Saccharomyces cerevisiae S288C: one gene and its partner. The protein of the gene in region 2 purifies or fractionates together with the protein of the main gene of each other region. This does not show direct contact. Each region holds a gene or a part of one and is shown on either strand. Other genes may lie near its edges.

Region 1 (4,113 bases), on a different chromosome or scaffold from region 2:
TATATATTAAAAAAGCTGGGAAATGCCCGGCTCAGCTAATTTTCTTCAAGCCGGTTTTACGTGCAGATCTTGACGAACGAAAATAACCATCATCCGATTAATTTGTTTGTTTATTGCCCCGTTGCCCATTGTGCAAATCCGCCTTGAGCAAACGCTTGTAGTGCGCTTCCAAATCCAGTGGACGTTAGTCTTCCAATTTTACTATCTGTGGACTCGGCAGCTTTGTTGAGTTCGTCAACAGAAGCAACTATTCTGTTCACATTTGTTTCAATGACCATGCCCCCCTGCACGATTTCTTCTAATACACTTTCCAAAGTTTGCCAGTTAAAAATCAAATCAAGTTCATTGACTTCAGTAAAACAACGGTCCAATGATTCCACAAAAGTTTGGATCAGATCTAATATGGCCAGTTCTGATTCTTGATCATCCACGATGAAAGTGAAATATAGTGTAGCGTAGTTTTTATAGATGATTTGAATATCTTCATTGTTTACCTCATCATTATTATTTTCATTGCTTAACAGAAGCGATGGTGGCGTGACTAAAAAAGAACTTTGAAAATCGCTATTCCTTTGAGAAATCAATTCATATACTTGCTCTAATAGCAGTTTTTGCTTTGGAAGGTCGACCGGCGTGTAGAATTTCACTAATCTTGGTTGGCATTTCTTATTGACTATACCAAAAATGATGAATTATGTTAGTAATGTATAATTTTGGCAGAAGAAAAGACCCTTGAGAAATCTTACATACATATTAGAACTGCATGAATCATTGTGTAACGTTATATGTGTTCTGGCCTCTGTAACCCAGATCTGGTATAGTTACAACAGAAATGATATTGTTCCAGTGGACTATTTAAAAAAAATATACTCCTACAACGTAAGAGAAGAAATATAAAAAAGAAATGCGCAAGCCCGGAATCGAACCGGGGGCCCAACGATGGCAACGTTGGATTTTACCACTAAACCACTTGCGCTTACTTTTGATATGAATCTTTCATTCATACTCAATATTAATAAGCAAGATATTTTTTGAAATGAAGAACCTTAATCGAGCCATCGTATTCAAAAAGAAAGAAAAAAGACTGAATGAGAACTATTTTTTTATTGCCTTATAGAGAATTACTTGAGACTTTTTTTTTTTGCCTAAAATATATGACTTTATTTTCGCTTGGCCTTTCTTACCTCGTTTTGTGATTACTCATTACTTACATCAGCGTAAGCTTTCCATATCTATAACATTTATGAAAGTGGAACTCCTCATACTCAAAAGTTATTGCTATCCATTTATATTGTGATCTTACCATTAAGATATATAGCAGATCATAATGGCTTGATTCTAATACTCCTCGAGTATGACCATGCAACGGTTCAAAATCCCGGGTTGTAAATATTTCTTTTATCACGAAACATGAGTGACAACCACTTAGACTCGAAAGTGACGTTCTTGTATTTGCACATTCGATGATAAATATTTAAAACGTATATGTAGATACATAGTGGACAGCAAGAGAGATGCATGGTTGGCCCATTTCTCAGCCTTCTGTTTGTTCTCTTCTTAATTCAAATGGAAACTTGTTGATCTCGAGTATCTTGTTAATTGTTTGAACGTTTATACTGTCATTGAACGATTCTACCCAATTTTTGCCTTTCGTGCCTTTTTTTGGGGTCAAGAACCCATCCCAATCCAAATTGGCAACCTTTTGAACGCTTCTATTGACCTCGTCATTAAATTCTCCTAACATATCTTTATCAGGAAATATGCTAACAATGTATAAATAATAGCCGTCCTTTGCGGTTCCCACAGTACTTCTACCAAGGTTATCTAAAAAACTTTTCTTTGGCTTGCCCTTCATGCTAGCAGGATTAATATTTGGAGATCTGTTAAGATTAACGTACTCTCGAATGGCCTTATCACCATTTAGTTTACACCACTCCTTGATAAACGTTGTTTTCACCTTTAATTTTAAATCTCGTCTCAAGTACGCAAATTCAGAGGGAATACTGTTTCTATGTCTATTTGTAAGCCGTGTCATCGCTGTTTGAATTTTGCTTAGTTCGACTTCATTAGCTTTTGATATCCTAGTTTCATTGAAATATTCTTTGTCCTTGTTGAAAACCTTCCCATTTAAATAAAACTTCTTATTGGATTTTACCGTTATTGCTGGTTTACTTTTTCTAAAACAAGACATAAAATGGTCTTCAGGGAAGTAATGAAGTTGAAAGAATCTACTAGTGTATACCAATGAGTTAGGGGAAAATTTTTTTCCAATCGTCACATAGGCTTGGATGGGTGAAATTACACCTCGAAGTTTACCAGCAACAAATTTCACTGGATCCCAGTTTCTTTCTTCTTCTTTTTGTAAATCAGTTAGCGTACTTAATATAGTATTTTCAGCATTTAAGCACACAGCTGAATTTCCTGAATCGCTTTTTCGAAGGTCACCAAGAGAAAGAGGCTCGGTATTCTTCGTCACTATAAATTTTGAAAAGGGATCACTACTATGTATAGTGGTTGATGGTCGAATTACCAGTTTGCCTTTAGGTTTTTGCGATAAGAGTGTGGAGAATATCTTCATGATTTGGTTTTTCTATTAACCTTCTTAATCTTTTCTTTCTTCATCTGCCATCGCCTTTCTATGTTTTCCGTATTTCTTCCCCGCAAGTTCTTTAAACTCAGATAGTATTAGAATCGATAATTAAGGCCAGGTCAAAGTTCGTATTAATTTCAACCTTTGGGCACCTATATTGGATTAATTTCCGTAAGATAATATATGAGAGCACTATCATGGAGTGATGAAGAAAAATTCAAACTCTAGGGGCAAACCGTTTGTTACGATTGCTCAAAAATTACTGCGTCTGAAGCCAGAATTGTAGGTATATACGAAAAGGTACAACTTGGGATACTATTGACGGCGGTAAGATAAGTGAATCCTACCTTTCGTTTTGAGCCGCTCAAATAAGACCTGATACAAAAACGGTTGTTTAATCTTTGTATAGTTTCTTCTGTAGAAGAGTTATGAAAATATACACTTAAACTATAACGATAAGAAAATGCGAAAGGAAAATGATGAAATCGAAAGCATTCACAATTTCCCCTTGGAAGCATTGGGTAAATTACCAACCTACGTATCCTCTCGCAACAATTCTGAAAACCTTTAACTTCCCACTTTTCATATGGCTTAGCTTGTAGCTGTTTTGAATAATCTTTCCCTCGTGATTTTCGATAACTCTAAACTTATTCTTTGTAAAATCATAATCAGTAACAACACTCGAATACGGAGCGGCGGAGTCCATTCCAACGTTGATAATTTCGTTTTTTCCGATCTTTTTATGAGCTTCAAATTTGGCCTTTCTAATTACAAGAATGTCACCTGGTTTAATCTTCTGTAAGCTCTTCATCAACTGTTCGATTCCTTCTTCAGGTTTATAACTCAATATAGTTGCGCCAAACGTTCTTGCTCCTATGGGTTGTATAACTTCGTCTTTGAATTCGGATACAATTTGTGACACGAAATTCTTAGCCCCAATATGTGAATTTATCAATGAATGAGATTTCTCTACAACTTTCGCATTAAACCTTTGAGCGTATTCATCAAGAATACGTGCTGATTGTGTTTCGACTGGCGATGGAAAGCGTTCTTGAAGAGTCGTTACCGTTTTCTCTGGGCTTGTACTATTAAAGGTCAAGGAGAATCTTAGTTGCGAATAGTTTTCAAACAAGAAGTAAAAATCCCTTACCACCCATTTTTGATGTAATCTTTTGGAAATGAAATGATCATCGATCTCCATCAAAAAGTTCAACTTCAGATTGCTTATAGCAGGAGGTGCGCTTTTATTAATCCACCATCTTTCTTGTGCATTAAACTCTATCTTGACGTTGTTGGAAATCTCGCCTACATCATGCGTCGTTGACCTTCTTATAGAGGCCACCTTCGGTGTAGTATCTGACTCATGGAATGAATCCACAGGACGATTCGTCAATGAAGGCACATGGGGCGGTAGGGTTCGTGATTCTTTTTCTGCCCCAGATAGTACTGAGGTTGGCACACGTTGTTGCGTACTCATCATTGAAGGTGTAGAGGCCGTGACATTTTGATGTGGTGGAGGAGAA
Region 2 (7,276 bases):
GTAAATTTGGAACTTTTTTCGGAAACTGTTGCTGAGGGTATAATCGCTTAAATTCATTCAAATTGGAAAATGCCAATTTAATTTGCTTAAACGATTTATACAACGTGACTATGTTATCCGTTATCATGTAAAATCTAAAATGATATTCGGCATGAAAATGAATCAATGAGGTGTTTATAACAGCGGATTTCTTGCAGATCAACTCTTCAGTGTCTAGCTCAAAGTCATTAATATTTAGCAAGGAAACATAAACCTTAATATGCTTCACATAAACCGATACCACGTACGCTGACAAAGATGCAATTGTAAGATTTTTAGTGGAACTTGAAAGTCCAATCCTCTCGAATATTAGGAGTACCTCTGTATTATGAGGAAGCGTTAGCTCTATAATCATCTTTCCTATATCTACTCTTAATCTATCGAGAACATTGACAGATTTTACACTGCTCACTGAATTTCGGCTCAATTTTGAATTAGGACGAAATTTTATCCATATACTCCGAATATAAAACCACAACCAGATAATATTTACATCCATCTTAAATTTAATCTTGGGAAGTGAAAAATGAATTTCATCTGAGTCGTTAAAACTCAATAACAAATTGGTAAATTGAATAATAACCTCAGGAGAGGGCTTATACGTAGTGCCATCCATGAAACGATATACGGATGCATCAATAATAGTGAAGTTTTTCTCCTGGCTGTCCGCTAACAATATTGATTCTGTAAAAACAACTTTGGCGCCTCTAGTTACGTCAGATAAGTTAAAATTCTCAGCTTCCACAGGATCCAAATTTTTCGGAAGAAACCCAGCGACCAGTAACGAACATGAAATATCCTTCATTCTAAGTTTCAATGACCAGTTAAATGTTTTCTTGGCTTCATTTAGGTCCCCCAATTTTCCACCATTCGCTTTATGAGCCGCATTCCTTTTTGTTCTGCTAGATATTAGCAAGTAAATTTTGTCAAAGGCGCGACTTAAAGTATGCAAAACTTCAATGTTCTCAAGACTAACGTACGAATGTCTTAGTGTAGACTGAACGATCAATTTAGAATTTGAAAATTCATCCAGAAATGTGTCTAATCTTTCAAAGCCACAGACTGGTATAGACACTGGGTTAGCGTCCTGCTCTGTTGGAATTCTCAGGTAAGAGAGTGATGTACCCACAATTTTAATATAGTTAGATAATTGATCAGATACTAGGGCTGTCTTCGCAAATGGCCAATCCGGACGTATTTGCATTACTTGTCCCTTTTTAGGAGTCATAGACAAGTTGTTACGGCTAAAGAGAGCATGTGTGCTGAAGACCTTAAACGTCACATTCTCCTCATCTGATATATGCAGCCTTGAAATAAAATTCGACATTAGTAGTTCAAAGTTAAAACTGGGCAATCGATCAATATCTAAATCTAAAATATTTAATGATCTGTCGTTTGTGTTAGTACATGATGAGGTCTCAGGGCTATCGAATTTGTCCACTAAATGAAGAACTTCCAGTACTTGATGTATAGTGAGGAATACTGAAGGATTTATAATGTTCAAAATGGAAGATACCTTCGTTCTCCGTAAAGGTACATTGTCAAGTAAAAATAGTAAAATATCTGACGTCAGTATGACATTTCCAAATGGAATTCTAACTGCTGTATTACCATCGATATCTACTACAACAGCATTTGCAGAAAGTGATAGTTCAAAATCGCCCCATGTGGGCTTATTTAAGGGTAAAAGTTCCAAAGCGGAGACATTATTTAGAATGGAGATTGATTCCAAGTAAAGTTGAGCACTTGATATGCGAATTGTAAACTTTTTTTTGTAAATCAACTTTACATTTTCTACCTTAAGGTCCAGAATGTTCAAAGTTTTCAGTGGGTAGTGAAAAGGCTTTAGCATCTTACGATATGAAGTGAGCATTTCCGCATCATCACCAGCAGAAAAAGGCTCAACAGGCTCCGAATGCAAATTCTTCCCTTTCTTCTCTGGAAGATGCCAACAAACATCACTTATTTTGAGACTTGATTTCCAATTTTTTAGTATAACTTTTGTGCAGTTGCTGCCTGTATCATCTTCCTTTCCAATTTTACAGACCATAAAAAAACCAGTATGGTTCAAAGTATCTTTCGTTTCAGGATGGGTAAAATCATGCAAAAATGCCTCTAACTTTATGGTATCATCGTGTGGGTGTGATATCGTTATGGATCCGATATTTAATTTATATTGTTTTCCATTAGGCACTGTAAGAGCTAAAGTATGAAAGAAAGTGGAAAATGAGAACACAAGTTTCAAAATTGATAGGACTCGCCTGTTAATTACAAAGGTAAAAGTTTGATCCCGCGGATTGAAATATGTTCTGGAGTCTTTAGTTGAATGTGCAGTGATATGGCTGTCCTTCCCAAATAACTTCAAATCAACATTATGAAACACAATTCCGGGTTTCCAACCTATTCGCAAGGTTATCTTGCCAATATATATTTGAGCAAAATCAGTTAAGATAAACGCTCGTCTTATTGACGTACCAAAAAAGTATCCAAATGAAATTTTTCGTATTGTGGAATGGCGCAGCATCAATATCCATGACATGAGAATACTAGCGATTTTCTGAATTGATATAATAAAAAGCATAAAGCCTAATAATAGTTTAGACACATCCCTTATTTGAGACCACGGTAACATAGACATTGTAGATTTTTTTTCTTGCAATAAACAGGATACTCCAGCTACTAGATATTATGGATGACAAGCCTACTCGAGAAATTGATCAGCAAAACTAAATTGAATGCTTAGCTTTTAAATGTAAGCCTTTTCGTGGGAAAAAGTGTATGATTTAGTTTTCAAAGAAGTACCTTCTATAATGGTAAATTATTGGTTGTGCTCTTGAATATAATGCATGTGTATGCCCTTGAAGTTTTTAATACAAAGCCACTAGTGCAAACAAATCAACAAATCTATTTACCCTTAATGTTCCTCTTTATCAATCATACAGCCTTGCAGATGGATGGTAAGTGATGGACTATAGAACACCTCAGAGATATTTTACGTAGATGTGCGGGATTAAGGGTTCTGAATTCTCCTGCCCGAGGCGCCCAAATTTTTCATTTTCGGATTGCAAAATGATGCCATTCGCTGACAGCCAGTTTTGTATTCATTGAATAAGAATAATGGCAAATTCAGAGAGACAATTCCAGCGATATATCCCGCTTTCCTTCCTTTTTTCTTCCGCAATCAGTTAACTGAATGAAACAATAATGTACTATAAAGGTGTTTGATGAGATCCTTGTCATTGTCGGCATCCAGGTAAATTCCATTAGTAACTGCATCTTTACTCACGATAGCTTCTAGAGTTGGCTCGTGGAGATAACCAAGGTTAAAGACAGACTGTGTAATTGGTAGCCCTTTACCATGACTAACTACTTGTATTTCAATCGGGGGTGTTTTTCTCTTGTCACAAATGAGTAAAACACGATTTATCGAAGAAGGTCCAACATTCGGTATCACTGAAAGTCTTGCTTTTATAAATGCGTGCAAGTTAGCATTGTATTCCGTTATAAATGTAGAGGAATCAACTTCTAGGCTCTTTGGAGTTGATGTTTGCAATACCGAGATTGGGAACCATGACGTCGCAGCCGCCAAGTTGTCTTGTACAATGGAGGCTGAATTCAATACGTACGAGCTTTTGTATGATTTGGAATAATCTAGTGTAGGTACCAGTTTTAGTTTATCTTTATCAGCATGCTGATCTTTGCCAGTTGATGGTACCACTTTCAATGGAATTAGTAATTCTCTACACGATTTTAATTTTGAGATTTTTTCTGCTCTCATTGGAGAAGCTAAAAGCCTACCATATAAGTTATTTTTTAAATTGAAATTTTCCAAATGGAACTGCCCCACCATTTCCTCTTCATCTTTGAAATAGAGCTTCTTGCGCTTATCCGACCATTTCTCGAAGTTTGTAATGAGCGGAGAAACATCTTTGACTCGTTGGGCACAGTTTTTATTAATGACTCTCGTTGGACAATCTATGAGTAACTTCTTATATGCCGATTTAGGTAAACCCATATTTGATTTTGAGAGGTTCCCAGGAGAATTCACAACAAAATATTATTCGAAGGCTCCTATCGTCATCATGTACCGTGGCGCATTGCCAACCTGTCTTATAGAAAGGCCGATGTCGTAAGCGGACCGGAAAACTGGAGATGAACAGGCATTGCCAATCCTACCGCCACTGTAAAAAACAAGTAAGAAAAAGATAATTATGGACGCTGGCTTTCATTTTAAAATAACATCAAGTTCAGATGATACTTCTGAAAAATACCCAATCAGGAATCTATTTTTATTTGGTAGAAGACTACTTTGTTTACTTATAAAAACATGATAACTATCTAAGAATATATGAACTGATTGCGTTTAACTTAACTTTTCCATTTTGTCTTAATCTTCTTCGTTTCCGGTAGTTAATGGGTTTGTATTTTCAGCAGGAACATGACCCAGGACTTTCTTGTTGCTTATTACACTTATCAAGGAACCAAATGACATGCTCTTCATCTGTGCAGTCTTATTGGACAGGTTTTCATAGTGTCACTTACTTGACGCGGATGTAGCAGGTACAGTATTAGTACTTCCCTCCTTGCGCGAGTGAAGAGACTTATCATTCGATACAGTAGATGTTAGTGGGACGTTTTCCGCACTATATGTCTTTTTCAAACTGCTATAAGGAGCTTCAACACCTTTAGATGTAAGCGGTTCCTTCAACGTTAGACGTGATTGTGAGGCGCCCTTCTCATTGCCGTAGATCAATCGTGAGTCATTACCTTCTTTCCTTGGACCACATTGATGGGGAATATGACAAGCTGAACTTTTGCGAGAGCCACTGCAGTTTTGAGTTCTGTTTTCCTCGAACAATGGAGACTCCATCTCAAAAGGTGAAAGATCTGACCCTCGTCTTGCTTCCGAATTGCAATTCAATGGTATTCCAAAATATCCGTTTGCATTACCATCCAATGCTAGACAACTGGGTGAAACACCTGGTAAGTTCATTAATGGCGAAGGATAAAAATCAACCCGTTGGTTGTGAATGGATGCAACACTGGAGGCACGAGACGATTTATGACTACTATCTGAATACGCGCTTGCCGGAATAATGGCTTCATCCCCATGATTACTAACAGCTATTTGAGGTACCTCTCCGGGAGCCGATGCTTTTCGCGAAGAGGATGCCATTAAGTTATCTGCTGACCGGTTGTAAAGCATACCTTCCCCAGTATAAGGTGAATAAGGCGATTTGCAAGGGGTTCTAATTGTGTAACTCATACCATTTTGTGGAGCACTGTTTTTCGTTTCTCCCACTATGGCCAGATTACCATTTTCATCAATGGCTGGTGTATTGACTTTTGACCTGTATACGGAATTCATAGCGCCTGCATTCATATTTGCGCTTTTTGGGATGTCTATATAACGAGGACGATTTGCCCTCTTCCTAGTGTTTAACGTGGTAACAGAGGAAGATGGCGTTACTTTTTCAGAAAGGTTAACAAAACTGTCTACTGGAGTGATATATGTACTGTTTTTGGACCTTTGAGAGCTCTTTCCATTATTATGGTTTCTACTTTTCAGAATCTTTTCTTCAATGAAGTTCGACCTCTCCTGAGTAGAATTGAAACTTGTAAGCGCTTTTATGTCCTGAACCCATTTCTTGAAATTTTTTGATTCCTCTGGAGTTGGTTCAAGACTTGCGGAAAATATTTTAAACGTCCATTCAACGCGCTTCTCGCAAATTGACTTCTTATTGATGTTAGCTTCTTCTTTAGCCTTTTTTTGTTCCTTGGGCACGGAAGAACTCTTTAGAAATTTCGGAACGGACACCATCGAGAGAGCTGAAGGCGTACGTTGATGTTTGCCCTTATTTGAAGCAAGCGTCTTTGTTGGACATGCCAAATCTGAGGTCGTGCTTGATTCTTTTGTACATGTGTCCTCTGGTGAATGATAACTAGCATACCCTTGTAAAACAAAAGTTGAGTCAGTACTATCCTTTAATGAGCAATCATTTAAAGACAAACTAGAGATAGGATATAGATTCGAAGAACTCAAACCCTTTCTTCTCTTCGTCAGTTTCGGATCCTGTGTCCCTTTGCTCGATGGGTGACTGCCAGCGTTAGTCCCATCCTTATTCACACGGCTAATGTCTGATTGTTCAACAACAGGTTTATTTTTTGAACGGGGAGACTTGCTGTCTAGAAAGAAATCGCTGCTTTTGAATTCGTGAAGATAATTTGTAGTCAACACAAAATAACCTTTAGTAAAACTTTTAGAAGACTCTGTTTTCTTCAGTAGATATCCTACTCTAATGCATTTGGCCAGCGGCGATTTCATGTTAGGATAAACAATATCAGATAATCTTCTGGGTTGCGGTGGCGGGTCTGTCGATTTTAAATTCATCAGACAGGTAGGATGATGAGAGACAAAATTATCCCACTCTACAGCCGGTGGTCTAGATAGAATACCTTGCTGCAATTCATGGCACAAATTTTTGATCATTAATCGTGCTTCTGAATCAATTAACGCTGAGTAGCGCTGTAATGCGGATTGAATTTTAGAATATACTATTTTCTCCAGTTGTAGTGCTGCTGATTGTAAATTCAGAAAAGCTTCTCGAAGATAGTTTTCTTCGAGTAATTGTCTTTTCAGCTGCAAATCTAGTTGTAATTTCAAAAGGTATGGATCGTGTTTTGGTTTTAATTTTTCACCTTGCTTATCGCCCGAAGTGGATGCTTCATCTAATAACTTCACTGAAGCAATATATTTATTCAGAAGCCTGCTTGTTATTTTGATATGCTCGCCTATGTTAGTCTTGAAATCTCCATTTAATTCTTTAATTTCTTTCATCTTTGTGGTCAAATCCTTACGCAAGTCGGTCAATTTGGGTATAATATATGCCAAGATTTCCTTAGAGATCTTATATTGTTGACTACCCAAAGATAAATGGTACTTCTTCAAAATCACTTGAATATCTTGAATGGATCCTGACCCAAATTTCATGAAGCCAGAAGAAGCTGAAGCTACCTCTTCCGAAGGTACTGATTGGATTGACTGCGGCTGTTCCACATCTGTGTCGTACTTGCTGTCCAATTTTTGAGCGGCCAATGGGACAGGCTGAGGTTTCTTAGTAGGCAACTTAGATATACTTGGATCAACCAGTTTGTTTGTTTCATCTTCCAAATCAGTAAGAAAAGCAAATTTTACGGCATTTTTCATCTGGTAGTTGATCCTTGCAATTTGTTCCTG

Evidence for each region. The genes of interacting proteins can lie anywhere in the genome.
Region 1: the proteins of RRG8 (region 2) and PET130 purify together in Saccharomyces cerevisiae (affinity purification with mass spectrometry, with the first as the bait; 2 studies listed by BioGRID). This does not show direct contact.

Annotation. Positions count from the first base shown.
Region 1 is NC_001142.9:395,821-399,933, forward strand, and holds PET130 (Pet130p), read right to left. Parts: upstream 2,579-4,113; coding exon 1,535-2,578; downstream 1-1,534. Other genes in the region: APS3 (Aps3p), read right to left, coding at 111-673, 751-772; BBC1 (Bbc1p), read right to left, coding at 3,117-4,113.
Region 2 is NC_001148.4:755,426-762,701, reverse strand, and holds RRG8 (Rrg8p), read right to left. Parts: upstream 4,055-7,276; coding exon 3,221-4,054; downstream 1-3,220. Other genes in the region: HOB2 (Hob2p), read right to left, coding at 1-2,677; RGC1 (Rgc1p), read right to left, coding at 4,574-7,276. UniProt on the Saccharomyces cerevisiae protein: Required for respiratory activity and maintenance and expression of the mitochondrial genome.